Drosophila melanogaster: one gene and its partners. The protein of the gene in region 2 purifies or fractionates together with the protein of the main gene of each other region. This does not show direct contact. Each region holds a gene or a part of one and is shown on either strand. Other genes may lie near its edges.

Region 1 (8,226 bases), on a different chromosome or scaffold from region 2:
CAACACAACAACAACAACTACAACTACTACTACCAACTACAACCATAACAACGAAAACGAGGGCTTGCTGTCAACTACTTTTATTTCTGTCTCTTGGGTTGGTGGTAATTTTAATGTCGGTTTTTTGGATTTTATTTGCTGGTTTCTCAGCTATAAGAAACTATGCCAAAGTTAACTACGGATTACAATAATAATCACAAATGTTCAGGTGCGGTCAGCAAATTACCTCTAATGTTCTATACTGTGTGTTCAAAAGGCTTATTAACTGCTTATTTGTATATAAGAGTGTAAATCCGCTATAATTAACACACAAATGAAAACTAATCAGTTGCTATGTTAATAGGTAGCTACCTACACATTTCGATAAACCAAATTTTAAAATAATTAAAAAATTGTTGGGTATAGATATTTCTTTCTATGACCTATACTAAGTTATTTTTGTTTGCATGTGGGTGTAGATGTTTACTTATATTTTCATGCCACAGCATCCCTATGATTCATATTTTTAGGGTTTCTCTAATTAGTCATAACACCTCTGGTATTTGTATTCCTTTTGCGGATAAAAACTTAAAAACGCCACAATTTTAAATCGTGAATCACACATTGAATACTTTAAAGGATTTAAAAAAAAAAAAAAAAAAAAAAACATGGATATTAAGTACATTTTCTCTATCTAGAGTTGAGTTTCGGTTCGCTCTTTTACGACCGAGTACGCATCGACACAGAAATGTTTTGAAATTCTGTGCTAAAATCGTGACCTCCACTGTAAACAGTGGGCGCTGGCAATGTCGTTGGCAACAATTATGCACCTTGTTGGCAATGCCGAGCTTACAAGCTGTCGCATTGGCTTAGCGAGCGACTAATTGGCTAATTAGACAATAGTGAAGCGCAAAGAGAGCCGATTAAAATGATGATTTCGATTACATTCGCTAATGCGCTAAAACAGCAGGAACGACACAAATTTGCTGACACAATTACGCATGTTTTGGCAAATGGCACACATAGATTCGCGTGCCATTGTTTTATTTGTTTGTCTGTTTACACACCCAGAAAACATACATAAACCTATATTCGGTGACAATCGAGCACAAATTTGGTTTTGCTGTGGGCCGCAAACGGAGCCCGATAACAATTACAAAACTATTGAACCAATTAAGTTAAGGCTATTAAAAACAGCAAAAACAATTCTGCTTGTTTTTTTTTTTCAGAAACACAACAAGAATAAGAGGAAAATAGAGAGCGCAAGAGAGAAGCAGAAACGGAAACCACAATGGCGTCCGATGGCAAGCGAATTTTACGACGAAACGAAACGAAACAGCATTTGCCATATGACCATTTATGTTTCGGCATTTTCGCTGCGTAAACATTTCCATATGCAAATATTAATGACCTTCACTTTCACCTCATATGCTAAAAAAGCATTTAATTGCAGAGGGACTACAGGTATGCAAGGTGATCTGTGATCACAATCATTAACACATTGCCTATTTGCTACATACAAATATGCCCATCTGTAATTGAGCTTAGATAAACACATTTAAATTGGGCCAGTCAAAAACAAACAATTTTCGAAGAATGTCCAGAGATTTCATTTAAAATGTAACTGGAATGGTAACAATCGATTAATTTTCAATAGTTTGACAACCCTAAAACCATCTCTAATACACTCCCACACACGCGAAACGGAAAGATAGATAAAATTGATCAGTACAACAGGTGATAAGCTTCGATTAATTTTCACATTCCCATAATACTACATTGAATGCTTTAAAAATAAATGAACCCGTACACAATCCGGTACATGTGTATACGTTTGCGGTGGCGGTGACTTCCAAAAAAGAAAAAACGGCAACAAATGTACCATATCAATTGCTGCCTGAATTTTTGTGACAGTGTGCGAGAGTAATGTGTGTGCATTGGCGTAGGAATAATCTGAAACAAATAGCGGCCTTCTCTCCCAGCGACAACAAGACAATTACTGTAAATAGGTGAAATAACAAGACAACCAGCAGTTGCACAAATATTAAAAAGGCACACAGACTGACAGACCAACCAAAGGTATTACGGTAATCAATGTCAAACGCTGCCGATTTTGTGAGTATTTATGTGTGCGTCTCTGTATTCACTCCAGCCGAAAACAACAACACCTTCGCTTCGGAAGAGCGACACACACGCTCATATCAAACCGCTTGGAAAGAGAGAAAGGCACATAGAGCGGACTCGAACGATGCGCGTCAAATGTCAAAATCAAGAAGAACAACAAAAACCATTATCGAAGCGACCTAGTGTTGTTCTACTTGAGAGAGCGTTTTTTGAATAAAAATGAACGTATTTGAAAGCTAAAATAATATTTACTTTTCCTATTTATGTTTCATAGTTTTGTGGACTTTAAGCGCAAGTAAACTTTTTCGAAATGCCAGCACACACATACCATTTACCAATTATACAAGCATATATATTTATAAAGATATGTATATGTATATACATGGCGGATATAAAAAAGCACCACTTGTTGTTGACTTGATTGAATGCAGTGCGTGCGAGCGGGATGGCAAGTTGTGTTTCGCCAAAGCAAGGTAAGATCGTCACCAATACACCAGTAACTGCAGCTCACATACACACACAGTATACTTTCACTTCTTGTATTGAATTTTTGATTTTATTTGTGCTGGCGCCATGTTGTTGTTGTTAGACATGGGGTTTTAAGCAGATTTATGCAGTCGGCAACAGCGAAGCTTTTGATAAAAAAATGACAAGAATGCTCAGATTAACAACGAAAAAATCAAATTATTTGGATCTTTTGAAGATACAAAGTTGCGGTAATGAATGTCATTATTATTAATACATTTGATCGATATGTGCTTTAATTGCATGAAACATTGAAACGGTGTCAAATGCCATTGCGTATTTCTTGCTGTGTACGTAGGAAAAATGCATACGTCATTGCCGAAACCTTCTTATCCCTCTCACACCCTTTTATTGTTGCATTACTGCATAAATAGTGGCACTCATACATGTGCATCGTTTTAGCCTTTTGTAATTTATGCGATGTCGCATTACTCTTGATTGTTTACTTGTGGTAGAGTAATCGGAAATCGGATGGCAATGTTAAAGTAAACAATTTTAAAGACAGCATAGCGCAGCAAATCATAAAAATTATCACAGAACCGGCAAATGGTGAAATTAGGAAGAAGAAAAATGGGGAAGAACCAACGTTGGCTGACGTCACAAACGTGAGGGAAAAGACAGAGCGAATTAAGCATCCTCCTATCGATGTATCGAAGGATAACGGCAGCGAATCCAATTAGAATGAGCACCGAAGGACGGGGAGGGGAACGTGTTAAAATTAGACATTGAATTCTACTCCCACGCTATTTCTCTAGGATAACTTCCTCACGCACGCACACCGTATACATATACATACACACGCCCACAGTGCAACAGCGTCGAACGGAGAAGCAGAAGAGAGGCGAATGAGGGCAGGGACAGAAGAGAGAAGAGGCCTGTAGACAGAAGAGGAACAGCTGCGAACGAATTAACATAAATTGTATGCAAAATTGGGGTGGCTATGGATACTGCTGCTTTTTGTTACACAGCGGCGGCATATTGTTTATCAGTTTTCCTATGAACTACTACTACATTCCAGCAATTTCCTCGCGAGACGGGCACCTTCCCATCCCATCCCTTGGCATCGTCTCTTTTCCACACTCTACTTTTCTCCTTCTTCATCTTACTTGTGTGTTGGCATATTTTGATTAACTCGTTAAAAAGACTATACTTTAGTTGTTTTGCAGGCACTTCGGTAGGATTGCATTGGTAGCTATATTTTTGTTGTTGTTTTTAACTAAATTTAATTTAAACGCGTCGGGTTTCTGTGAGTTTTTTTTTATCATATACGTTGGAGCGACAGAGACGGGGCGACGGCGACGTTTGGCTGGAGCGCGCGTGCATAACACGCACACACACAGAGACGCAAGTACGCGAGAGAGTGGAGAAATCAATCAAGAGAGCACGTCGGCGAAGGGGGAGTGGAAAAAATCACATATGTATGTGCGTCAGTGGAAGTGCGACAAGATTTTCCACAATATTCCACGCATCTTTGTTTCGTTTCTTTAGATATATGCACATATTGCTTCGTTTTCTTTTTGCATTGCTTTCTTACACAATTTATAATATATATATGCATATTTTGTGGTAATTTCAGGTTTTTATTTTTTGCACACACTTTTCATCATTCTTTTTTCGCTTTTCCTTCAGTTGGATATATTACGCACTGGATTTGTGGCTTTACACTGGCAATCGGTAGGCGGTGGCGAGTAATGCACGTATTCCCCTTAATTAACAGTTTTCTCTACAATTAATAATGTAATCTCTTTAACAAAAACTCAGAAATCACGTCATGGCTGCCACGTCCAAGCAACAATGAATGTAAATGGTGGCAGATGAGGCCGTCTGGGCATTCTCGACTAGCTCCAAAAGGGGCACACTATTTTTCTGGTGATACCATTGCACAGCCGATGATAACACTGCATATACGGTAACACCACAATAAGTGTGAACTAAAATGAATTTTCCGTATATTACAATTGACACTTGACAATTCACAGGTAAAGTAAACATCTTAATTGCTAAAGAACTTAAGATAAAACTTAATTTTAAAGGATTTACAGAGTATTCCACTCAAAACTTTCGACCAAAACAACCATGTAAAACATATGTTTTGATGAGTGAGCAGGACGTCTATATATTGCCTGCATTCGCGAATGGAGGGAACACAAAAATGCAATAAAAAATATGTGTGGAATGGAGGAGGCGCAAAAGACCCCAAAAAAACGCGCCACACATGTACAAATTTCACCAATTGCTGTAATACAAATAGTTTATAACGAGGTACAGCAATGACAATGACCAATTAGGATAATAGGCAACAATAAACAATGGGAGGGGGACGCAGCACGCTGCGCGGCTTTGCGGCTCTTGAACATGACCACGGTTCTTAGCCTGACCGAGCGACGGTCGGACCGAGTTTTTTTCACGCCGACATTTGGCCGACTGAAACAATGCACTTACCCTGGAAATTATCGTCATTCTCTTCCTCCGATGCCATTGTAGCACTCGAATGCAACTTTTACACTGTTTGAGCACACGAAATTGTCTTAATTTCCACAACAAATAATTAAGCACACACAGACACGACGAGAAAAAAATAGTCAATTGTAAGCGGCTTCAACAAATATGGCGGAGCGGAGAGCGACAAAAAGTGAGAGAACTAGGGTTGCACCCCGATAAAAGAAAGCGAAACGGTCACACTGGCGACATGACAACCCTGACTTTTATGTTTTTTTAACGACCCTGTCCTAACGTGTTTCGGAGAATTTTTCACCAAAGACCAAAAACCTTGTGTATTGTTTTTGAATTGCAAATCGCTGATTTAAGCTCAAGGAATGTGCCAAGCAGTTGGTAAATAACATTTACTTTTTAGTCCGACCCATTTAATTGCGAATTATGTCGTCCATTATCACGCGCAAGGATGGCGACGACCAGAAATTGTCCAAAAAGCGCGCTGCCGCCTCAGATTCCAAAAGTGGTGGTGGAAGCGCCCTTGAAGCGCCCAAGAAATCCCGCTTCGATGTCCCGGAAAAGAATGGCGGCGGTGGTGAGAAGAAAGAAGAGGTCGCCGTGCCCGCCTCGCTGAGTTCCACGCAGATCAAGCTGATGATGGCCCATGCCCAGCGGGAGATCGAGGAACGCAAGCGGGCCCTGAGTAATCTAAGAGACAAGGATCCGCTGCTGGCGTCAGTTCCATCGATCGGAATGCCAGTTGCCTTAGCCACTCAAGCGCTGGCGAAGAAGCCCACGCCCGAGGACTCGGAGAAGGCCAGGAAGATTGCCGAGTTGCAGGCACAGATCAGGGCCAAGCTTACTGGCAATTTGGCTAGTTTGATTCAGCCCACTGCGGTAGCGGCCGCCGCTGCAGCTGCTGCTCAAGCGCAGGAGCGACCCAAACCCCTGATTCTGGACGATGAAGGACGCACTGTGGACAAGAGCGGACGTACCATTAATATTCCCACGGTGACACCTACATTGAAAGCCAACATACGCGCCAAGAAACGGGAGGTGTTCCAACGCCAAACGGGTTTGGGTGAACGGAGTGAATCGGGCACTTCGGCCCAGGAAGAAGCTATTAAGTACTTTGACGACCGCATAGCCCTGAAGCCCACTGTTAGAACCAAGAGGACGTTGAGATTCCACGAGCCCGGAAAGTTCCAGCAGCTGGCCGAACGAATGCGCATGAAAAGCCAGCTGGAGCGACTACAGAATGAGATTTCGCAAATAGCCCGGAAAACGGGCATCTCGTCGGCCACCAAACTGGCATTGATTGCCCCCAAGCAGGACATGCCGGACGATGTGCCTGCCATGGAGTGGTGGGACTCAGTTATACTGACCCAGGATCTGGAGACGGTAGACGACGCAAGCGGTAAGATAAGCATACGCCAAACAGCCATAACCAACCTTATAGAGCATCCCACACAAATGAAGCCGCCAAGTAAGTTGAAAGCTAGAACATGTCCCACAAGCAACTAACCACCTACTCCTTCAGATGAGCCCTTGAAACCAGTGTATCTGCCGGTTTTCCTCACAAAGAAAGAGCGCAAAAAGCTTCGTCGCCAGAACCGTCGCGAGGCCTGGAAGGAGGAGCAGGAGAAGATCCGACTGGGTTTGGTGGCCCCACCAGAGCCGAAACTGCGCATATCCAACCTGATGCGTGTGCTTGGCTCGGAGGCCGTACAAGATCCGACCAAAATGGAGCAGCATGTGCGCGACCAGATGGCCAAGCGGCAGAAGGCGCACGAAGATGCCAACAATGCGCGCAAGCTGACCAGCGAGCAGAAGAGCGAAAAGAAGCAGCGCAAGCTGAGGGAAGACACCAGCTGCGGTGTACATGTCAGCGTCTATCGCATACGAGATCTGCAGGACAACCAGAGCAAGAAATTCAAGGTGGAGACCAATGCCAAGCAGCTGCAGATGACCGGCAGCGTGGTGTTGTTCCGGGATTGCTGTGTGGTTGTCGTGGAGGGTGGGCCCAAGCAGCAGAAAAAGTATCGCAGGCTCATGCTAACGCGCATTAAGTGGGAGGAGGACAACGCCAAGGGCAATGACGGCCAGGACGTGCCGAACTCATGCGTACTCGTCTGGGAGGGGACTAGTCAGCGACGGCACTTTGGCGAGATCAAGTTTAAGATCTTTCCAATGGAAAAAATGGCCCGTGAGTTTTTTCAGAAGCACCAGGTCGAACACTACTGGGATCTGGCCTACTCCGGAGCCGTGCTTGAGGCCTCCACGGATCAGCAGTAGATAAAAGGCATTTTAAGAATTGCTAGATACACTACAGTTCTACAAATTCACTTTCGGAAAGATACAAGTCTGAATTAAAGTTTTGAAGCGCGCTACGCATTTGATGTTATTATTTTCGAAGCTATTCGGAACTTTGGAAGTGCAAAAATAACGAATAAAAGTTTTATCTGGACTCTAAATATTTGTAGTAATCATTTTTTAAGTGGTGGTTGTTGTTCAAATAGATCTGGGATTTATATTAGTATGATTTATTCTCAACCAACTACTGCCTCTTTACATAGGGATCCTCCCGGATGTTCGATTGTATAAACTCCTCTGGTCCTTGCTTCTTTAGCTTCTCGATTATTTCCTCCAAACGCTGATCTTCTAGAGCGGTCTCGGCTTTCTCGCGTAGATCTAGTTCGTGCTGCTCCTTCACCCGCTTCGTGAGCACGCCTTTGACTAGTTCTCTCAGGGACTTGTTAATGGCCAGGGTGTAATCCAGCAGCTTTACATAGGTGGCTGGACTGAGATATCCGCACTGCTGGCACTGGGCGATCTGTTCAAAGGTATCCATGCTGGCGGTAATGATCAGGCCGTGCTCCTGGGCGGATGATGGGCTGGTTGTGCTATCGGTGCTGCTGTTGCGATGCTTCCAGAGCAGCTCCTCAACCTTGGCACTGGGATTCAGGAAGACGTGATCCCGATAGATACAAGCTGTGGAGGCCGTAATTAAGTCGTAAGTGGAAATGCCGCACTCCACCAAAGCGACTCCGCAGCAATTGATGGCAGTGCTGAGCAGGCAGCCGTCATCGTCGAGAATAAGCACCCGTATGTCCAGCTGAAAGTTAAGGAACTCCGTGCGGCACACCACCGGCTCCATGGCCTTGG
Region 2 (6,581 bases):
GATGTTTTGGCTAAATAAACATAACCAAAACCACTGAGAAACAACCAAACGAAATGAAACTAAACAATAAAGCAGATAGTGAAGTTAGCGAAAGGGCGAAGCAAGATGTGGCTCCTACATTTTAGGATATAGTTTACAACGCGTCGTTGTAGCAAAGAAGGCAAAGTGGCTAAGGCTGCTGGGAGACAGAACTGTTGCAGTCTCCGGATATCAATTATATGGCTAAATATTTAAAGAAAATAAATACCTATATTTTGTATGATTGTGTAAGTTGTAATATATCTAGACAGCAGTACTTTTACTGCGCCCAATTAACACATGTGCAAATGCCAAAAAGAAAGCAGAGCCGCCAGCCAGAAAATAGCTTGACGAAAGCTCAACTTACGTTTAAGTCCTGTAACCACCCATTGGCAATCGATCCATCCCACGAAAGACAGCAGATCAAGTGCGAGCGCAGTTGCCACATTCAGTTGAGGCCAGTATCTAAACTATCTATCTATTCATGTTACTCGTTTAAGTGCTTAGTTCTCTATACATCGAGGTCGTCCGATGGGCCGCGACATTCTAAATGGTGACTCATTTCAAAAAGCGCACTACCTACCTTGGACTAGGCCCATAATTTAAGTGCGTTTCGCGTGACTACATCTTATGCATCCTAATCCTAGCTGAAACCCTATGTTTGTAGCTCGCACGGCGCTGGCCGGCAACTTTATAGTTAAACTATTATGGATTATGTTTTATGTTGTACATGAAAATGGAGACGAAGCAAGCAGCAAGAACTAGAAATAAAACGAAATGCTATACGTATCTCAATGACATGTTATTTATTTGGTGAAGTTCATCCCGATTCTTATAAAAATCACGAGTTATTTGAGTGAATTGATTACTTTGAACCATTTGAGTGAAATTAACAATCTTGTCGAGCAAAAATATTTATTTAAAGCTAATTCTAATTGGTACAAAAAGGGGGATGTAACAAACTCTTTGAACTTTTCATTACGTAAACACTACAATGGATATACACAACTATTCAAACAAATAACTAAACTAAGCCTAAACTTCTCTTTTGGACTAAAATTGCCGACCCCGGTCGCAGATGTAGGCCATCAATGCCATGTCGCGCACCTCCAGTGTGACGCGATTGCGATGCTTGGTTAGCATGTAGGAGTCGGCGAGCCGCTGCGTCAAGTACATCTCGCACGACTCCTGCATGGCCAATAGGGCGCCTTCGGTGACCCTTAGCGGCTCGTCGTCGCTGTACTTCACGATGAACTCGCGCACTAGACGCGAGAACGGCAGCTTGGGTATCAGTGTGCCGGGATGGTGCTGCAGTCGCCGGATCTCACGATCCATTCTCTTGGCTCTGCTCATGGGATTGGCCGCTTTGCGCCGCCTGGTCTGGTTTTGCGCAGCAACTGGCCCTGCTGCTCGCGTTTTGCTTTCCTGCTGCACGGTCATTCGACGCGTCTGCGGCGATCTGGTTGTGGGATAGCGATTCTCCTGGTCCTCCTCCTCGCCACTGGTGGAGCTGTCTCTCGCTGCCGGCTGCCTCCGTCCGGCGTCCCTGCGCAACGTCGAGGAACGCCGATTGTTGTCCTGAAGCGTCAGTTGGCTGGTGGTGAATTCGAGGCCGTAGTCGGTGCCGTCTTCTGGCTCCGGCGAGCGGAAGGCCGTGTCGTCGTCGTTCGGCGACTTTGAGTTGTTCGCCGACGGCCTGGGTGCGCGCTTGGCTCTGCTGTGTCGTGGCATTTTCAAATTTTCGGTATTTGCTTAAAATATTTTTAAAGAATTCCCGCTTTTTTGGAACAGTGTGACCGTATAAAGCAAAGCAAATAATGCCCAGTACCGATACCGATTTGAATGGGCACTGACTAACTAAATATATTTCTAGCAGTTGAGAATTAAAATATGTTTATTTATGTGACAATTAATATTAATGGGAATACATGGTAATTGTTTAAAGACGTCCAGTACTTTAACTTATTTTGCAGTGATCATTTATACCCCTAGAAATCGATTAATTACTACTATACAGGTATCGATCAATTCCCATCGTTAGTGCACAGCTGATGTGAAATTGTTTACCTCCTAAATTTTTGGATAATTACCCTATTTCGCCATTAAAACTCATTAGCAGAGCACTGAAGATACAGCCATGTCGGAGGACCAAGGCAAAGACTACACACTGGAGTCCGACTCCGAGCTGCGCTTTGAAATCGAGCAGAAGGATGCCAAAGTGCTGGTGTCCGTAAGTAGTGCAAAAACCTTTTTGGATTACAATAAATTCGTTATTTATAATCAAATTGTTGATTTCAGCTGGTCAGTGGATTTGCGGAGCTGTTCGGCACGGAGCTGGTGAAGAAAAAGCAGTACGAGTTCGGCGTGGGCGCCAAGGTGGCCATCTTCACGTACCAGGGCTGTGTACTCCACGTCTCCGGCAAAATGGACGTGTGCTACATCTCCAAGGAGACGCCAATGGTGCAGTACGTCAACTGTCATGCGGCACTGGAGCAGTTCCGCATGGAGGCCGAGGAGAAGGATCGCTACGGACCAGTGGCCATGGTCGTCGGTCCCATGGACGTGGGCAAGAGCACTCTGTGCCGCATCCTGCTTAACTATGCTGTGCGCGTGGGTCGTCGACCGCTGTACGCCGACCTGGATGTTGGACAGGGCTCGATTGCCATTTCCGGGAGTGTGGCCACCATTCTCATCGAGCGACCGGCGAACGTTGAGGAGGGATTCGCCAAGACAGCGCCGCTGGTCTATCACTTTGGCCATAAGTCTCCCAGCGGAAACAGCGTGCTGTACAATGCCGTGGTTTCCAAAATGGCAGAGGTAACACTGCAATCTCTGAATAGCAACAAGCGAAGTAAGTTGGGAAGGTGTAACACATATCTTTGCACTTTTCAATACATTTTCCCGTTCATAAACTGCAAATTTCTGCATCTGCTTTTTGCAGCAAAAAGCTCTGGCATTATTATAAACACTTGTGGCTGGGTAAAGGGATCCGGCTACGCGCACCTGTTGCACGCGGCCAAAGCCTATGGAGCCTGTGCCATCTTTGTTCTGGACCAGGAGCGACTATACAACGAGCTGCTTCGAGATGTTCCCAAGGGAGTTCATGTGGTACTGCTGCCCAAGAGCGGCGGCGTCGTCGAGCGCAGCAAGGAACTGCGACACGAGGCGAGGGATCAGCGCATCAAGGAGTACTTCTACGGCAATACAAGGGCGCCCTTCTATCCGTTCAGCTTCGAGGTGAAGTTCCAGGACCTGCGACTCTACAAGATCGGCGCACCGCCGCTGCCCGACTCCTGCATGCCAATTGGAATGAAGGCGGAGGACAACAAGACCAAGGTGGTGGCGGTTACACCCACGCCCGCCCTAATCCATCATGTGCTGGCCCTCAGCTTTGCCGAGTCCGTGGAGGACGATGTGATTGGCACCAATGTGGCCGGCTTTTGTTGCGTGTAAGTGCTGCTGAACCTAAACTAGATATTATACTAGTTATATATGATTGTTATTTGATTATCCTCAGAACCGAAGTGGATATGGAAAGACAGGCAGTGATGTTGCTTTCGCCGCAGCCGCGACCTTTGCCCCCGAACGCCCTGCTCCTGTGGTCGGAACTGCAGTTCATGGATAATCATACCTAGCATTTGTAAATGCTCTGCTCTAGATGTAATTTAAGAAATTTTATATTAATGTTGGCGTTACAAAAAATACAGTTTAGATGTGCAAGTAGTAAACTTAAAGTTTTCCACAAGTTTAACAACTGAAATAACATTTAATAACATTTTGCAAAAATTAATTAAGTTTTGCTATAAAAGAATAGAACATATATCAAACAAATATTGTAATTTCTGAAAATTGAAAACTATTATAATTAATTATAACTATACAAGAATATAATATTCAGTATATGTATTGTATGTGTATGTATGTATTATTATGTGTTTCTTATAACCACTGAAAAAGGGTTTTGTAAAAATTGCATTTGAATATATTTGCAATGTGCATTTTTCGCCATTTGGTAAAATTATGTAATTCTATTCGAAAATAATTCAAACAAAATGGTGTTCTAAATTTTTTTAGCAAGGTGTGCAACCAAACGTCTACTCTACTTCCAGTATATTTTTGGTATATTTAGAACACTCAATTGGTAATATTTAGGCAAATTAGGTGCAGCCATACTGACGGCTGCGTACGTCGCCTCAGTGCGGTCACACTGTTCGAAAGAGCGAGACGAAAAACACGGCAACACGGCGGACGGAAAACTCAGTGAAAAGTAAATCAAATATTTACAAAACAAAGTAACCACAAAATGGCTGCGCTCGGTCGAATTGCGTTGGTTTAACAACAAATAGCGATGAAACGGCGACGATTAATACACTTTCAACGGGCATAAACCATAGATACTGTGGAATTTGTCGTGCTTTTCGTGTTTGTTGTGCAGCATGCGAGATGTTGCTGATGTTGTTGTTGGAATGTGTATCAAATGGTTCTAAAAACAAAACAAGAGATTTTCGGGCATCTAAATTTACGGCCTGCTTGAAAGACGTTCTGTTTTCCCCCAGTGTGTGTGTGCGTCTGTGCATGTGTGCGCGTGTGTTTGTGTGTTTTCTTCTCACTTGCTCTCTGTTGCTGCTGCATTTTCCAGCGGCAAACGGCGTTTGTTTTGGTTGCGTCGTGAAATTTTCCACTGGAAAGTGCAGCGCTGCGCCTTTCTGGGGGTTGCACACACACGCGCACGCACCGCAATTCGTCGATTGCCGGCTTGTTGCGCCGTAGAAGCGGCGGCAAAAGAGGTTCCCTAATTACCCAGAGTCACCTTATCACTTACAGTATTTCAATTTGGCGACCAGTTGATCGGAGGGGGTGATGGCGGTGTGGTGGCCCTCACACAGTTGCACAATTGCTTATCACTCGCTACTTAACGACAACAACAATTGGTGGCTCGCACACATGCAAACAAGACGATCACACTCGTCAACAAAGAAGCGGGAAACTCAATTGAAAGACTGAAATAACAACAACATAAGCAACAGCTAGCTTACACTACGCAACAAAAGTGCGAGCACGAGGAACTAAAAGTTATTAACTCACTAGTGATCAAAACTGAAATAAATTTGAATTGTATTGTAGTCATAACAGTTGAACCAATATTAATCTATTAAAAAAGATACGTAGAAAGTAAAACAAAAATCCTAAAACCTATTTACTAACAGGCATAACTCTGCAAATACTGTTGTAACTACAAACGAGAGTTCAAAACAAGGGTGTTATTTGATACCCTAGGGAGTGAAAGATTTTCGAGAGCGACCTGTTTTCAAACCTCCCTCTCCCTTCCACTTGCAGTTTTTCCGTGTGATTACCATGTGCGCCTAACAAAAGACAAACACGATCGGGTCGCGTCATCTGTTGTTTTTGCGCCAAATGTCTTAAAATTCCGGAGATAGTGCTTCCAAAATAAGATGGCTCTCGAGCCATACACAAAGTCTGCTGAAATCGAACCTCAATTGTGCCAAGTTATAGATAATAATGAAGATGTGACAACGAAAGCGACGAAATGCACGAAATCTAACAGCGGAGTGGGCTGGCGACAAATGCTGATCGGCTTTCTACTGATTTGCTTTGGCATCTCAAACAGTTGGCAGTACAAAAATGGTAAGTTCTGTGCTTTCATTTCGAACAAAGGGCAACGGTTTTGCCAAAGGAGCTGGGAACTGACAAGCATTTGATGGCAGTTCGATTAATTTGACGAGTGGCGAGGGCTTTGAGTTCAAAAAACCGCAGGGATAGACAGTTTGTAATGGGAATGGGGGTTCGCTGATATCGTTCCTCTACTTTCCTCAAAGGCTTTTGTACTACAGGTATCGCTCGCTAATGTGAACCAACGTAGTTGCGTGATTCCCAAGTGATTGAATTATAAATTGAGAGTGTTTAGTCTCAAATCAATATTTGATATTTATATTTATTGGTCAATATTCATTTTAAATAGTTAATTTAGCAAAATTTCAATATGTACATCAAAAATTACTATTCAGATAGAATATTTACTTAATAGTATAGTTCCTTATTTCAATGATTCACTGAATTTAAAAGCTTAAAATCCCATAGATAAAATATGAGTAACTGAACTGCATTTCAGGCATGTTGCCTGTTCGAGTGCCCACTGTATGCGTTTGTTTATGTGGTTTCAACTGCACTTTTGAGCTTCCCGCTCCCCGCCCCTCGCCCAGCCTTTTAGCCCCTTCCTTTGCCGCTTTGCGTTTTCCTTTAAGCTCTTTTTCGTGTTGTCAAAGCCCAAAGGCTGACAATTTCTCGGCGCAATGCTTTTATGAATAAACAACTACTACTTATTTAGACTGTAGTACGCACTCAACTTGATTGCACTGCGCATAATTTAGTACCCCCTTCTTCATCTACTTCTACTCCTACGACTACTACAACTCTGCGGCCCCACCAAACACTTTTCCACTAGATGCGACGCTAATGAGCTGAAAAAAGCAGCTCACTAATAATTCAGCAGTTGTAATATGGCAAAGTTGCCCGGTAATTGCCGGCATATTTCAAAATGCACA
Region 3 (8,452 bases), on a different chromosome or scaffold from region 2:
TTCTTGCTACATATTATTAAATCATTTTATTTCAAAAAATAATGAACTACTGTAATGAACGCAGAGCGAATAAATGTTTGTGCTATTTTGTAACGAAAACGAAAGATAAATGTCACCAAGTGTTCTGTTATTTAAAAATTAAATATTTACTTTTGAAATGCTTTAAAAAAAATTTTTGCTCACGTTCTTAAATTCTTAAATTAAATTTCGTACAACTTTTAAACTTTTAACAGCAGAAAACTTCGAAAACGTTAAAAGAAAAATGAAGAATACAGTAGCATCCTCTTGCTTACCAAATTAGGATTTTCTGCTCATTGAACTTATTTATATAATCTTTTACTTTATACCATAGTGAACTAATGTTTGTGCTACTTTGTAACCAAATCGAAAGATCAATGTCACCATGTTCTCCGTTATTTAAAAATATAACAATTACATTTAAAATGTTTTTAATACATTTTTTGATCACATTCGAAATTTCATTAAATTGCGTCAAACATTTACAAATTGTCCTTTATCAAAAAGAATTATGTATTGAATAGGAATTGTGGCACATGCCAAAAGAAAACAAAAACACATGAATAAAAGCAAGAAAAAGAAAGAAATGAAAATTCAAGTTAAGCTATCGGCGTCTTAAGGTGAATATACCGAAAACCAAAACGAATTAAAACTAATCCAACGAAAACCAAGGTTATTTAACCAGCGAAACTTGTAGACTGCTTCTTCAAAAAAATGTCTATACATTGGCCGAATTTTATGTGGTTTTATTGTACTACCAAGCACCTTTATTTTATTATTTAACAAATCTGTAAACATATTATATTTCAATGGATTTATAAATTTAATAATGTGGAAATTGAGCAGCACTATAAACATGTTCAGTACTAATATTAAACGAGGAAAAGCTTTTACCCAGTGTTTTCTTATAATTTTAAAACGTTTTCCATTTCATATTTTATTTCGTTTGACTTATATTTTTTTGTGACTCAGTTAAAAATGTATTATTATTTATAATTTGTTGTTTATGCCACATGGATCAAAAAACTGAATGTATCTCCAGCACACTTATACGCTCTTTATTTGTCTGTTTAATACAATACTACAATTATATAAAAATAACAAGAAATATTTTAAAAATCTTTCAGTTGTTTTATTTTTGTATTCTTTTATCCTTTGTGTAGGCATAATTTTATAAGCTTTGTGAAAGATAGTGTCACCTACTTCAATTCGTCATGAAAGAAAAAGCTCTCGTGAAAGTATATCTAAAAAAAGTAATATTCTAGGGCTTATAATTTGCCTATACAACGTATATGAGTTATGCACGGCTTAAACGAACTCTGAGATATATAAGTTGTCAAGTTTAAATAGTAAGCTTGTTTGCATTATGTATTTTCAGAAGTCCCACACAGTGCCCTTCACTTTAATTTGCCTTATTAGTGATTTTCTGCCTAAGCTATATTACGATAGCGATATTATATTTCTTATAAAACAAGGTCAAAAGCAACATGAGACAGAGACTTACATATAACACACAAAAACTTGTCAGTAAGCCAAACGCGTCACGAGCACAGTTTTTTGTAGCTTGAACGAACTATATATAAACAGAGTGATTGGGAAATTCCTAATCGAAAGGGTTTTTTTTAGGTTGGCTAAACTCCCTATACGTTGCTTTTATCCAAGTGATGATTTTTTATACATATTTACACATAAAAAGGATAAACTAATTTTTTGAACCAACAATTACTGAAATTTAAAGTACTAATCTAAATGGCATTTACAAAAAATATAAACATACATACAAACATTTACAAGTTTATACATATGTTAGCCAACCATATTAGATTTCTGAGTATGAACAAAAAAATTCAAAAAATTATAAAATACTACAAAAATGTATTACTAATAAATTAATTATACAAAGGAAATTCATATAGTTCTCGCTTTTTGAACAAGCGCAGCTGTACATTGGGCCATTTGGAAGGGATAGGAACCTATATACGAGAGTACCGAAGCGAGATAAAATTCAAACACAAAAAAAAAAACGGAATATACTGGAGATCGCACCTGTATACGTTCATATAAGCAGTAAATCGTTTTTTGAAGTATCTAGTTACCCAAAACCAAGACGTTGAATACAAAATTCTTATCGGGGTTTTTATTTACTTTTATTTAGTTCCATGTCCGATGCTTATAAAAATCGACATCTGCTTGAATACGGCTAGCATTTCTCCGGTAAAAATTTAATGGAGTATCTCTTATCAACTAAATCCATAACATCAAGTTGTATGGAATTATCGGGGCTGTGGCCGTATTTATGGTACTACGCAACTTAAAGCTAATTCTTGTAGTGTTCAAGTTCTAAAATCTTGCCCTTTTAACAAACGATTTACCACCATTCTCTTGTGCCGGGCGCTTGTTAAATGGTTTTTTACCAAAGTTTGGCTTAGTGTCCTTTTGGAACTTCCGCGGGGCGCGGGTCTGACCAATAGCTAAGCGTTTCTTTAACAATCTATGCTTCAGCAGAGAGTTTGGCTCAATAAATATAGGGGCGTTGTTTACAATGCTTTCATTAGCCAAGAAAGATTTGCAGAAACCCTCATCGTCCTTGAACTTTACTACCGCTTTTTGGCCCAACATTATGATGCTTTCGATTTCGCCGCTATCGTTAAACACTTTCCGCAGGTCGGCTTCAGTAGCATCTACAACGAAATTTTACATGATAATGATTAATAATTTTAAACAATTTTACGAAACGGGTAACCCACCTGAAGTCAAGTTCGTCACAAGAATGGCCCTCCCCGAGGTGCTGCGTTCGAATCGGTGAAGCTTCCACTCAAACTTATTAACAGTCTTTCCGTCGAGTTGTGCTAAAGCCTTCGTGGCGGCATCCGACTGCTTGAACGTGACAAAAGCTAAAACTGCCTTGCTGCACACAACGTCGATTTCTTCAACATCACCAAATTTTTTGAATATCTTTTCTAGAGCGTCGGAGCTGTAAGACTCGTGTTTGCCCACATTTTCGACAACCAAGGTAAGTTCACTGGTACGTGAAATCGATTCTTGTGAGATCCGACGAACCGTTATAAAGCGAGAAAACAGCTCAGTGCTATGCAGTTTAAGAGCCTTCGGTATGTCATCGACCGACGCCAAACGTACAAAAGCTCTGGGCATGAGGCGGTTACTGGATATAGTCACCGCCTCCACGGGAGCTACCTTCTCAAAAAAGGTTTTTAAGTCGTCCTTGGTAATATTAGGTCCAATCAGGCCAACCACCACCGTGCGTTCGTTGTTCTCTTCCTTATTTCTCGGTTGGGACACAGACAAAACATTGTCTCCAAGGGTTAACGCTTTAGGCTTAGCCTGCAGAACAGCTTCTGCTCCAGTTGACGTATCAAAGGCAATGAGAACTGATTTATTGCCATTCAAATTAGTGAAACGCTGCAAAGCGGAAAGTCGTCCGAACTTGGCGAACAATGCGACCAAGTCCTTGTGGAGATACTCTATGTGGAACAAATATACTAAGTTTAAATATACTTGAAAAATGAAATAATAAACCAGTTACTTTACCGTTTGGTAGGTTTGTGACAAAAACGATCTGGTTTTTTGGCGTTCCCAGCGGAATCTTGCCAACCTTTACTTTTGGAATTCCTCTATTTTCTTCGGACTTTTCAGAGTTGGCTTTTTCTGATTTCTTGGAAACTGGCTTCTCTACAGGCGCTTCTTCATCATCATCGGATTCATCTACCTCATCCGCGCCTTCACTTTTGGAAACCTCACCAGGCTCCAACTCATCGTCATCATCATCTTCCTCATCGTCACTATTGTACTCTTCATCTTCCTCAGCCTCGTCGTCAATTAAGCCCGCTGCCTCTTCGGTCTGAAAAGTAGACAATTTTCTTATAACCGCTGATGGGAGAGCACCAATAAAGACAATTTTTTTTTTATCGATATATGAACCGAGTCGGTATAAAACCAGAGGATCGTGGGTTATGTGCACTCGTCTTATAATTATAAAATCTTTACAACCACGTGGCAAAGAAAACGTAAAATGGATTCTTATCCATGCAGATCTATATATACGTGCATACTATGCATGTAATGTTAGCCATATCCATTCAGAAGACCACGTTTTTTTTATAGCTTACCTCAAAGTCGCTGTCGTCCCCTGGCTGCTCGTCATTTTGCTCCTCCACATCAGACTCGTCCTCTTCACTGAACTGCGGCACTTCTTTAACAGGCTGTTTTCTGGATTTTTTGGAAGGCGATTGGGGGACTACTGTCTCCTCTTCCTGTACCTTTGTGGACTTGGTTACCCGTTTGGCCAAAGGCTTTTCCTCTCCATTCGTAGCTTTTTTTCCTTTGACGGTGACGGCTTTCTTTTGGGCCATTTTGACAGCTTTTAGAGGTTTTCTGGGCAAAATTAGCAAAGTCAAGTTTGGACTGAACAACGCGTGGTTTCGTTCAATAAAATGCACGTGGAAAAGAGGGACAGAACAGTGTGACCGTTGTGCTCTATCGGTGCTAAGGCTGATTAAATAAAGTATTTTAGAGACTTCAATCTCATTTTTATAGCTCTATTCCACTACTAAATATGGTTTAAAGTCCGTTCATGCACATGTATACATATAAAAATAATAAAAGCCTTTAAAAAATAAAATAAATATTAAACAGTTTATATAAAGTATTTATTTAAGACTTAGGATACAATCTATGATTAGATATTTACCAACGGTCTGATTTTACATGTGTTTATACATTCCAAATGGTAAGTTTCCTCAATCATCAGCTATGAATCATCTGTTTCTAAAGGAATTTATAATATATATATTATATTTCATTAAAAAGCCAAGTCAACCTGCAGTTGCATTTTATCTTAGTAGGAAACTTAATGTTAATTCAAGCAATTGTTAATGGTATTGAAAGAAAAATTATTAAAAGTCACTTACTATGGGCCAGGGCACACTTAGGAAATATAAATAGGTGCCAAAAATGCAAAATAAATATTAATTATAGGCTGCGATTATGGTACGACCAAACATATATCGGTTTGTTCGCACTGAATTGAAATACCAGAGAAGTACATAATTTGTTAGTATGTAATATTCCCTGGTATTTTTCCAATGACTGTCAAGCAGTGCTGGTAAATGGCGGAACAAGTATACACATAAAAAATTAAATTGCAGCACAAGTCCCGCAACGCACACATATATTTATTTAACGGAGTTCCAATTAAGCAGGAACAGCAGAAAAGCAGAATAACAAGCATAACCGCCAAATAACATAATGAACGGTGGTGGTGGAGGAAGTGGAGGAGCAAATGTGAGCAATGGCTCCAGCACCAATGTAACAGCTGCCGGGAGCACTGGGGGCGGAAGCGCAGGCGACGAGACTGGTGGAGATGCCAGCTCCAGACGCCAGGCGACTCGGGTGTTTAAGAAGAGCTCCTCCAACGGCAAGATAACAGTTTACCTTGGCAAACGGGACTTCGTCGACCATGTCACGCACGTGGATCCCATTGACGGTGTTGTCTTCATTGATCCAGAGTACGTAAAGGACCGTAAGGTTTTTGGCCAGGTGCTTGCCGCCTTTCGGTACGGACGTGAAGACCTAGATGTTTTGGGATTAACGTTCCGTAAGGACCTGTATCTGGCGCATGAGCAGATCTATCCGCCCATGCAGCTGGACCGCCCGATGACCCGGCTTCAGGAAAGGTTAATTAAAAAGCTGGGGCCGAACGCCCATCCGTTTTATTTTGAGGTTCCGCCCTATTGCCCAGCCTCTGTGTCCTTGCAGCCGGCTCCTGGAGATGTGGGCAAGTCTTGCGGAGTAGACTACGAGCTGAAGGCCTTTGTGGGTGAGTCTTTGTGGGTCTGATCTTGTGGGTGTGTCCGTATACGGTGGTCAGTCAAAGTCAAAATCATTGATATTTCGCAGTGTGGCACATACCGTGTTTATTATATATGTTGCAATACATTAAATTTACAAATTTACAAATTTTTCTTTTTTCTTTACAAATTTTTCTTTTACCTTAGAGCAGTTAAATTGCGGGTACTATTGTTTCTGAGAATAAAATAATTTATTAAGAATATGGTTACAGTAGCAAAACTAGCTTTGTTCTTTTCTATAGAAGTTAGACTGTAAATTTCTTATATGTGTGGTTTTGTGTAAGTTAGCGCGTGCATCACGCGGTTGGGAACACAGGGTTAATCAATCCAACTACGTCGGGCTGATGACGCAGCGTTCACCTAATTGAAATTCGACACTTCTAATTGGAATTTGAATCAACCGAAGTTGCAGCGCAGTTAATGCTGTTGTTCGCCTTAACCAGGCGCCGCAGTTGGCGGTCTGACGATTTGTGTGCCAACAGCAAAGATCTTACATAGTTTCAAAATGTTTATTTGTTTAGTTTCTAATCTGTATTTAATAATTAAAAAAAGGTTTAAAGAATTTGTGCTTTATTTTATTAGTAGAAAGGTTTTTGGTTTCTGTAAATTTTAAATTTTTCATATTTTCGTACGATCGCCGAGCTCCACTCGCATATATATTATGTGCCCGTGGCACCCCCTTAATACATTCTCTGTTCAATAAATATTATTACCTATTGCCCTATTTTGTTTACACATTTTTGTGCTTTTATAGTTTCTGTTGGAATTTTATTATTATTCAGCAGCCAAATTGTTTACTGTTATAAACAGAGATTAATAAAATAGCAGCAATTGGCGTGTTGTTGGGTAAAAGAGTTTATAACAAGAACTTAATATTTATTTTTTCTGTATATAAGCCCAAATTCAATTTAAGAATAAAAACAACAATGTTGGAATTTGTACAGTTGGAAGAAACGATTTCTCAGTGCTTCTCTGCTTCCCCTCATGACAATTGAGTCAGCATTTTTATTTACTTTGCGTCTGTTCAATTGTGTATCTAATGTTCCTAGCTTTTATGTTTTTGGGATAACCAATTATATATATTTATGCGTATTTTTAAAGCAATGCTATTGATGATCAATTAAATGAATGTATATGCATATATATGAATAATATATATATATATATATATATATATATATATCCATATGTAAATGCCAGTAATTGTCGGCTTGTGATTAAACATCGTGGAATTCTATACATGATAGACTCAACATCAACGACAAATTTTGTAACGAATCGGACTACTGACACACCCGAGCGTCATGGGTTTTCTTCAACAAACATACATACATTGATGCCATTATTCATAATGTTTATCACTAATAGGTGAGAACGTGGAGGACAAACCCCACAAGCGGAACTCGGTGCGACTAACTATTCGCAAAGTCATGTACGCACCATCCAAAGTCGGTGAGCAGCCATCGATCGAAGTAAGCAAGGAGTTTATGATGAAGCCAAACAAGATCCATTTGGAAGCTACTTTGGACAAGGAGTTATACCACCACGGCGAAAAAATATCGGTCAACGTTCATGTGGCCAACAACTCAAATCGGACGGTAAAAAAGATTAAGGTATGTGTCCGGCAGTTTGCGGATATTTGTCTCTTTTCGACGGCGCAATATAAATCTGTAGTGGCAGAAATCGAGTCAGAAGACGGATGTCAAGTGGCTCCGGGATTTACACTCTCGAAGGTATTTGAGTTGTGCCCCCTATTGGCAAATAATAAGGATAAATGGGGCCTTGCTTTGGACGGGCAGCTAAAGCATGAGGACACCAATTTGGCGTCTAGCACTCTCATTACCAATCCTGCTCAGCGTGAGAGTCTCGGTATTATGGTCCACTATAAGGTGAAGGTGAAGTTGCTGATTAGCTCGCCACTTCTAAATGGTGACCTCGTAGCTGAGCTGCCATTCACACTAATGCACCCTAAGCCCGAGGAGGAAGAGCATCCACTGTTAGGGGAGCGATCGCCACGGGCTAGTTTAGCAGGCGGGGGTCTGCCGTTAGTGAGCATGAGTGACGGAGAAACTGAATCGGCTACTGGCGGGCAGGATGTGCCAACGACAACAAATCTCATTCAGCTGGACGACGACGAGGCACAAGATGACGACATAATTTTTGAGGACTTTGCCCGTCTGCGTCTAAAAGGCGCTGAAACAGAGGCCTAGATGAAAAAGGAATAGATCGAACTATTAATTCATATGAAGAAAATACTACTATTATTTTCGGCATTTGTATAATATAAAAAGTATGAGAAAATTGGGCAACCTCTAAATGTAAAGTTTTATACCAATAGCCATGGTAAACAGTTGGATTTAAGCTATTTTATATGTGTAGGCCATATATTGTAGTATCTATAGGGTTTAAGCTGAAAGTGTACGAATTTTAAAATGTGAAATTGATAAACCAGTCAACACACCAGATCTACACAAAATGCCCACGCATAAGTTAACTACACGAGCGAAGTATTTCGGCCACACCTGTAAAAGTTGAAAGAATTCACAAAATTTGATATGTAAATGTTG
Region 4 (7,923 bases), on a different chromosome or scaffold from region 2:
AATACGAAAATATTTGGGTTTGGCACTAATGGCATTGATCATATTATGTTATTATAGGACAAGGCCTATTATCGATTCCTCTTTCCTGTTATAATATTTAGATCTTCTACTGGGTAAGAGCAATCAATGAATACCCTTTCCTTCTCCAGCTCTTCCACACCTCCGACAAGCCTGTCGCACATGGCCCGGATGATGGACTCCCTGATCCTCGACTCGCTATCCCCATTTGGCTTCACGAAGATCACGGCCACCAGTCGACCTTCCCGGAACGCCAGCTTGAAGAAGAGCTCGGAAGGCGGCCACTCCTCGACAGCAGAGCGCCACCGGCCCGTCAACAACCTGGGCTCTAATGCACCTGGGGGATTGGGCATTGGCGGAAGTGTTCCGTTGCGCAGCAAGCAGCGGCTACCCACGCAAGGTTGGTGCTCCGGGTGGCGGGGTTTCCTATATAATCATTAAAATGCAGTTTCCGCCGCAGAAGTGGCACCACAACCGCGAGCCAGTCAGACGGCCCAAATGCCATTTCCGTCGCAGCAGCAGGATAATCGGTGGGTGTCCTCCCTGCGTCGGCGGGATCCCGAGCTGCAGCCCACTTTACCCTCCATCAACAGCAATGCGAACAGCAGCAGCCTCAGCCAGAGCCACCACGGAAGTGCTGGGAACGTGGGATTGGCGGGCGCAGGAGCACCTACACCCGCCGCCAGCATGGGCACAATGCGCCTGGGGCGACCAGCAAGGGCATCCGCCATGACCGCCGCCTTGCGGAAGAGCCGATCCGTGGAGCGCCTGCGGGCCAGGAAGCTCAGCACAAACACCCAGCTTAACTTGAAGCACAAGCCGGTTAAGAAGAACTCGCTGGACGAAAACTCCAACTCGGATGACCAAGACGCCACCACATCCCTGGAAGACAACTCGCACGCCCAGTCCCTAGCCACCAGCCACAACACGCCCAAATGCTCACCGAAGACCAAGGCCAAGCACTTCTCGCCCTTGGGCTACGAGGTTCATCTGGTGGACACCCTGGAGAAGGACATTCTGCAGCGCCATCCGTGCATCAAGTGGACCGATGTGGCTGGGCTCAATGAGGCCAAGACAATACTCCAGGTGAGCTTTATGTTCTGAATCGGAACTTCCGATATGCACCCATACTAGTAAAATATATATATCTGTGACATCTATGACTAGAATAGGTTTAAAATTGAGGTCCACAAATATAAAAGTGCACCTCAGAGGCGTGCAGAAGACCTAAATTAAAAGTAGCTAACTTCATATGTATGTACATCTTTTTTTTACCCAAATAGGAAGCAGTGGTGCTTCCGGTAATCATGCCGGAGTTCTTCAAGGGAATCCGCCGGCCGTGGCGTGGAGTGTTGATGGTCGGTCCGCCGGGAACAGGCAAAACCATGCTGGCCAAGGCGGTGGCCACAGAATGTGGAACCACCTTCTTCAACGTGTCCTCCTCGACCCTGACCTCGAAATACCGAGGAGAGAGCGAGAAGCTGGTGCGTCTCCTGTTCGAGATGGCCCGATTTTATGCGCCCAGCACCATTTTCATCGACGAGATAGACGCCCTATGCGCCTCCAGGGGCAGTGACTCGGAGCACGAGGCCAGTCGGCGGTTCAAGGCCGAGCTGCTCATCCAAATGGACGGACTCAACGCAAGCATGCAGGAGGAGAAGGTGATCATGGTGCTGGCGGCCACCAATCACCCGTGGGACATCGATGAGGCTTTCCGGAGACGTTTTGAAAAGCGAATCTATATTCCTCTCCCAAACGGTAAGTGCGAGCCACTTCCTTTCCTGCAGTAAATAATAGTAATATTATGCTCCAGAGGGCACCCGATCGGCTCTCCTCAAGCTCTGCCTGAAGGACGTATGCCTGTCGCCCAGTCTGAACACCGGAATAATCGGCGACGAACTGCAGGGCTACTCGGGATCGGACATAAGCAACGTGTGCCGGGACGCCTCCATGATGGCCATGCGGCGCCTCATTTCCGGACGCACTCCCGATCAGATTAAGCAAATCCGACGCGAGGAGGTTGACCAGCCGATTACTTTGCAGGACTTCCAGGACGCCCGTCTGCGCACCAAGAAGTCCGTCTCTGCCGATGACGTTGCCCGCTTCGAAAAGTGGATGGAGGAATACGGGTCGTGCTAGTTGTACGGGCTGCTGGCCCAGCACCCTCGATAATGATCGTATCCCATGTGTACTTCCCGATCACAATTATTTGTAACCTGTATAAATCGTACTCGTTAGCCGTAATGTTTTGTTTTATATACGCTTAATTGCTCAAGTGCCCCACGCCCAGCATTGCTCCTCTATGTACGTGCACACGGTAATCTGATATCTTATAAATACATAATATATATATATATATTTAATTTGTAATATTTATTCAAAGGAATCCTACTGTAGGCTTATAGCAACATAATGTATTTTGTAATCAACATATTTGAAAACAGAGAAACGAAATAAATTAATCAACACCTTTTGGATCCACAGAACCTACGAGGCCCTCAACTTGGCAATGGTGCTCTGGTACTCCTGCTCGACCACGCGGTATTCCTCATGCAGCTGCTCCATTCGTTGTTGAACCGTTGGCAGGCGAGCACGCAGCATTTCAGTGTCCATCTTGAAGCGCTCCATTTTCTTCAAATCCTTTAACTGCTTGTAATAGACCGCGTTAAGCCGTTTCTTAACTTCCAGACGATAGGGTCGGTACTCCTTTTCATCCTTCACATTGGTGTAGAATAAACGCAAAAGCTCGTACACCTTACGCACCTGGAGGGGATTGAGTTTCAGAGCCTCGCGAGCTTCCCGCACCATCTCCTTGTTGAAGCCCTTGACTATCTCGCCTGGTGCAAACGACTTCAATTTCATGCAAGATCGCGCGTCCACAAAATTCCTCAAACGCTGGAAATCCTCAGATGGATCCTCCACTGTTATGTCCACAACATTCTTCTGTGACTGATAAAACCTGTAAATGCTCTCGACCAATTGGGTAGCCAAGCCGAGTTTCTGGAAAGGCGGCAGTATCAGCATCTGGCTTATCCTGGGCCTCTTGTTTTGCGGATAGGCGTAGTACTCGTATACGGTGGTGTAACCAGCTGTGGCATACTGCCACTGGCCATCGTTGTTCTTGTACTTTTCGTAGCTAAAGGAATGCAGAATGAGAAGAGGACGTTGTTATTGAAACCAGCTACTGATTTTGATAACAAAATAAGCCAATCTTCTTGTAGAAAACTTACCTCAAGAAGTAACACCACTGTGGATCATCAGTGTCGATGTAGGAGGCAGCATCCACGAACCACAAGATGAACGTCTGCAGCCGGGCAAAGAACTTTAAGAATGATGAGCTCTTGTACTCGCACTGGTAGATCTCGAAAAGGCGCTCGCTGCCGTCGTCCGATACCCGCCTGTATTCGCTTATCTTCTCACCGAAGGGCTGAAATTTGTCAGCCTTGTCCAGTGTCTTAAGAAACTCATCAAGATTGATGAAGTAGCAGCCGTCCGGTAGACTCTGAGCAATTGTGCTGACGACGTCGTCTGCCTTGATCTCTCCGCCGGAGATCTCATTCACCCGTTTGCCGTAATCGACGCCCAAGTAGATGTGCAAAGGTCCTGCCGTGTACATTACACGGACGTGCAAGTCCTGGTAGCCGAAAATCGTCTCGGTCTCCCCGAAAATCTGGTGGGCCATTGCGGGATGAAAGGTCAGGGCATCATTGTTGATGTCGGCCTTGTCACGGACTAAAAACGGGAACATTGCAGTTCTACCTCGCTACGAAACAAGGATACTTACTCAGCTTAAAGTCTACCACTTCGAGAGCATCAATCACAAAGTCCTGGTACTTCTCGATTTGTGCCATTGTTGGGTACTTCAAAAGGCGGCAATCGATTCGCTTTCGCAAATGGTGGACCAGAAGATCTTTCCGGAACTTTTTACTTGTGACCGTTAAGTAGTTTGCAGCTAACTTGTTGCTTTAAAAATCAAAAATCACGTTGTTTATAAAACCAGACAGCTTTTTGCAGGCGTTCTAGCGCAATTTTCGCGGCTAAACAAAGTGATTGGCTTTCCAACAATGTTGGACAACGCAAGACGGTGAATACTAACCAACAACACTAGCCACGGATTGGGCTGTCAGATGTGTCGTTTAAGCGATAGTTTAACTATTGGTGCTGAGATTACGATTGAAGATATAACTGTTATGTGTTGATTGCAGGGTTGGAAAGAATGAGAATTTGTATAAAAAAGGTAATTATATCATTTTGTTGCCATAAAAATATTGTTGTTTTTAAATCAGAAGTTACGCAAATTATGTTGTTTCGATTGTTAAACCTCTGACAACCCTATGCGCAATTTACCGATGTTTTCTTGATTTCGCAGTCTTCCATTTTTCTGACAAATTTTGAGTCATACTTTGAGTTGAAATTATAAAAAAAAACCCTTTGGAACGTAATTTTATCCCTACAAAAATATCTTTGACTGTGACACATCTCGCTCTGGTACTATCACTTCAAAATTCACCTTTTCAACACTACAAAATCCCGCAGCCAACTTAACACAGCATTTGTAAGCAAAAATTTGTGCGGAGATTATTATTAGAAAAAAGCCGCTTTTGCATCCAATAACTTTAAGAAAAGGAGCAGACAAACCAACCAGGTTTGAAGCAAGACGACATTTATCATTTCCTATCGTGAAAAACAGTTTTAGTAGATTCTGCAGCAGGGTAAAGGCGAAATATAGGTAGGTTGGAAAACTGCCTCGTCATATCGGCAAAAATTGAAGTAAACATTTTTTTGTAGAACACAATGGACACCTATTTGTTTGATGGCGGCCGCATCACCAAGATGGAGGTGGACTACGAGCCGGCGTGCAACGAGAAAATCCCCCTGGCTAAGGAGCTGGCCAAGAAAAACCCCGACGCCTTTCACGAAGCCATCGAGATGATGCTACAACTGGAGAAGCAGACGCGCCTGGGCGCCGACATGGTTTCTTGCTCACGAGTCCTGGTTGCCATCTGTCAGATCTGCTTTGACGCGTCCAACTGGAACGCCCTCAACGAGTACGTGTCTCTGCTGGTACGCCGTCGCTCCCAGCTGAAGCAGGCTGTGGTCAAGATGATCCAGGAGTGCGTCACGTACGTGGACAAGACGCCCGACAAAGAGACTAAGCTGAAGCTTATCGACACACTTCGCTCGGTTACCGAGGGCAAGATTTACGTTGAGATCGAGCGGGCCCGTCTTACTAAGATTCTGGCGGACATTAAGGAAGCCGATGGCGATGTCGCCGGAGCTGCCACTGTCATGGAGGAGCTTCAAGTGGAGACTTATGGCTCGATGGATAAGCGCGAGAAGGTGGAGCTCATCCTGGAGCAGATGCGCCTTTGTCTGTTGAAGGAGGATTACGTATCCACGCAGATCATTGCCAAGAAGATCAGTATAAAGTTCTTTGACGATCCGGCACAGCATGATCTGAAGCTGAAGTTCTACTATCTAATGATTCAGTTGAACAGAGACACCTCCTTCCTGAATACTTCGCGCCATTATCAGGCCATAGCGGAGCCTCCGCGCAAGAAGACTGGCCTTACACCCGTAGACTCTGCCGCGTCCACGGATGAGCAAAAAAAGAAGGATGACGATAAGAAAAAGAAGGAGGAAGATGACAAGGATAAGAAGCCAGAGGTTGCTACAGAGGCTGAGGTCGAAATTGAACTTACCGAGGAGCAGAAGAAGGAACTGACGGAAAAGCTGGTTTGTGCCGTGCTTTATTGCGTTTTAGCTCCCTTCGACAACGAACAGAGCGACATGATGGCACATCTTTCGAAGAACAAGAAGCTGGAGGAAGTGCCCGCCTATAAGTAAGTACATTTGATTTGAAGTACATTTCGAGCATGTTATTTTATTTTCGATTTAAAAGGGAAATTCTGCGCTTGTTCATGTCAAAGGAGCTGATCAACTTCGACACATTTAATGCAGACTTTGGGCTCGTGTTGGCTGAAAACGAGATGTTCAAGGATAGCACCAAGCATGGCAAGAAATGTATCACCGAGCTTAAGGATCGTCTGATAGAGCATGTAGGTTTTTTTTGATTTAAATCAATACTAATAATAACTAATTGCTACTGGTTATTTCATAGAACATTCGCATCATTGCCATGTATTACTCCCGCCTGCATTTGGCGCGCATGAGTGAGCTGCTGAACCTGCCCACCAGCCGCTGCGAGGAGTATCTTTCTAAACTGGCCAACACCGACACCATCCGCGTAAAGATCGACCGTCCCGCCGGCATCATTTACTTCACCCAAAAAAAGAGCGCCTCCGACATCCTGAACAACTGGGCCACCGACGTCAACCAGCTGATGTCCCTGGTCAACAAGACCTGCCACTTGATTAACAAGGAAGAGTGCGTCTACTCCGTCATGTGTGCTGTCGAGGATTAATCCTGTTCCATAGGTGCTTAGAATAGTGTTTCCCCCTTGAAGCGCCTATCCACACGCAACTGTAATTGTACTAACCCCTAACCATCAACATTTCGATTCTCTTCGTGAAGTTTGTATTCATTGAATGAACTACAATTATTAAATGAATCCCCCCATTAAATCTCCATGCAATTCAGTGCAGTTTTTGCCAGTCACTGGTGATTTCCGGCGGTATTTTACAACACTTTTGGGGGTGTGTGCAGAGTGCTTCTTCTTATCCAGGGAAGTCAACATGGGCGTAGATCTAAAAAAATGACTAAAATTGAATTTAAGTGTCCAATAAAAGTATACAAGTTTATGAAAAGTTTATTAGCTTTTCACCAAGGGGAAATGTCTGGGCTGTAGTATATAGTGTAGTATTTTCTATTACCCAGCTGTCATGGTAAAGTATTTTTCTCAAATGGGTCAGAATCATCCCCTTGCAACTTTTAACGGCGTCACTGGATGCTTGTTATTCTTGTTAATTGTGCCATAGCAAACCTCACATTTTGCAAATTTGTTTGAAATCGGTATTGTTGTTACTTAAGAATGCCAAAAGAAGATTGCAAATACTGGGATAAGTGCTATCAGCAGAATCCCGCACATTTGTCCAAATACAATCATCCGAAAAAGCAACAAGAACACGAAGTGGACGGCGCAGAAGGCAAAAAAGTGGCGCCAAAAAGAAGTGCATCCTCGCAGTCTGGTGAACAGAAAAAGGAAGAACAAACGGAGCCGGTGAACAAGGATAAGTCCAATACGAGTGCTTCAAGTACGGAGATGGTGAACAAGGATACAGCCAAGGGCAGTTATGAAGCCGAAACCGAGGAGCTTCACAAAGAGGCCATGAGCAACATATCCGGAAAGAACTACATGGAGATCTTGGAGAAGCGCATCCGCCTGTCCGTGCAGAAGGAGTACGACAATCTCTGCGAGTCCAACGAGTTCATTCGACACAAGTTCCTTGTCGAAATGCCGCCGGACTTCTACGAATTTTGGAAGTTTGTGGGAAGCTTAAAAATTGATCCTGCGAAGCCCAAGGATGCTGGCTTGGAGCACCTAGACAAAGTATTTCAACTGCAGTTGGTGGGTCCCTTTGAGTTCCTAGCCGGTAAATTTCACGGCGCCAAACTAGGCGAACCGGGAGACTACCTGCGCCACTGGCGTTTTTACTACGATCCACCAGAATTTCAGACGATCTTCGTGCGCCGAGGCACTGGGATTCACTACGGTTACTGGCGCGATGTGCCGCAGGACAAGGAAAATCTCTTAATAGCCCGCAACGACTCTGCGAAAGGCTGCCAGTTCCAATTCGTCGCTGGAAATGCCTTCGATGCTTTCCTCTACTACCTGGAGCACGATTTTGCGGCCACTCCGTTCTCATGCGGGCAGTTGGCGGGGACCAAAAAGGCGGTGGCAAAATACCTGAGTGACAATTCCCTAGAACTGGCCCAGCTGGACCG

Evidence for each region.
Region 1: the proteins of cid (region 2) and Mi-2 purify together in Drosophila melanogaster (affinity purification with western blotting; one study listed by BioGRID). This does not show direct contact.
Region 3: the proteins of cid (region 2) and mod purify together in Drosophila melanogaster (affinity purification with western blotting; 2 studies listed by BioGRID, with this or other methods). This does not show direct contact.
Region 4: the proteins of cid (region 2) and Hat1 purify together in Drosophila melanogaster (affinity purification with western blotting; one study listed by BioGRID). This does not show direct contact.

Annotation. Positions count from the first base shown.
Region 1 is NT_037436.4:19,904,973-19,913,198, forward strand, and holds the start of Mi-2 (Mi-2), read right to left. Parts: upstream 5,244-8,226; 5' UTR 5,108-5,243; coding exon 5,071-5,107; exon of another isoform or gene 4,662-5,070; intron 4,608-4,661; exon of another isoform or gene 4,226-4,607; intron 1-4,225. Other genes in the region: Prp3 (precursor RNA processing 3), read left to right, coding at 5,506-6,547, 6,602-7,356; Mtr3, read right to left, coding at 7,619-8,226. UniProt on the Drosophila melanogaster protein: ATP-dependent chromatin-remodeling factor which acts in nucleosome-remodeling by catalyzing ATP-dependent nucleosome mobilization. Involved in regulating transcription. Plays a vital role in development.
Region 2 is NT_033778.4:13,480,859-13,487,439, reverse strand, and holds cid (centromere identifier), read right to left. Parts: upstream 1,824-6,581; 5' UTR 1,750-1,823; coding exon 1,072-1,749; 3' UTR 809-1,071; downstream 1-808. Other genes in the region: cbc (crowded by cid), read left to right, coding at 2,156-2,248, 2,317-2,869, 2,960-3,467, 3,536-3,653; arr (arrow), read left to right, coding at 5,472-5,664. UniProt on the Drosophila melanogaster protein: Histone H3-like variant which exclusively replaces conventional H3 in the nucleosome core of centromeric chromatin at the inner plate of the kinetochore.
Region 3 is NT_033777.3:32,048,671-32,057,122, reverse strand, and holds mod (modulo), read right to left. Parts: upstream 5,064-8,452; 5' UTR 4,947-5,063; intron 4,804-4,946; 5' UTR 4,727-4,803; intron 4,643-4,726; 5' UTR 4,389-4,642; coding exon 4,146-4,388; intron 3,878-4,145; coding exon 3,568-3,877; intron 3,501-3,567; coding exon 2,766-3,500; intron 2,700-2,765; coding exon 2,359-2,699; 3' UTR 2,149-2,358; downstream 1-2,148. Other genes in the region: krz (kurtz), read left to right, coding at 5,284-5,854, 7,254-8,095. UniProt on the Drosophila melanogaster protein: Its capacity to bind DNA and protein(s), and its differential expression during development suggest a role in the regulation of gene expression during Drosophila development.
Region 4 is NT_033777.3:5,784,964-5,792,886, forward strand, and holds Hat1 (histone acetyltransferase 1), read right to left. Parts: upstream 4,422-7,923; 5' UTR 4,366-4,421; intron 4,112-4,365; exon of another isoform or gene 3,982-4,111; 5' UTR 3,870-3,981; coding exon 3,803-3,869; intron 3,751-3,802; coding exon 3,249-3,750; intron 3,155-3,248; coding exon 2,506-3,154; 3' UTR 2,374-2,505; downstream 1-2,373. Other genes in the region: kat-60L1 (katanin p60-like 1), read left to right, coding at 150-418, 467-1,104, 1,302-1,776, 1,832-2,157; Rpn5 (regulatory particle non-ATPase 5), read left to right, coding at 4,813-5,861, 5,921-6,077, 6,140-6,442; Hpf1 (histone PARylation factor 1), read left to right, coding at 7,010-7,923.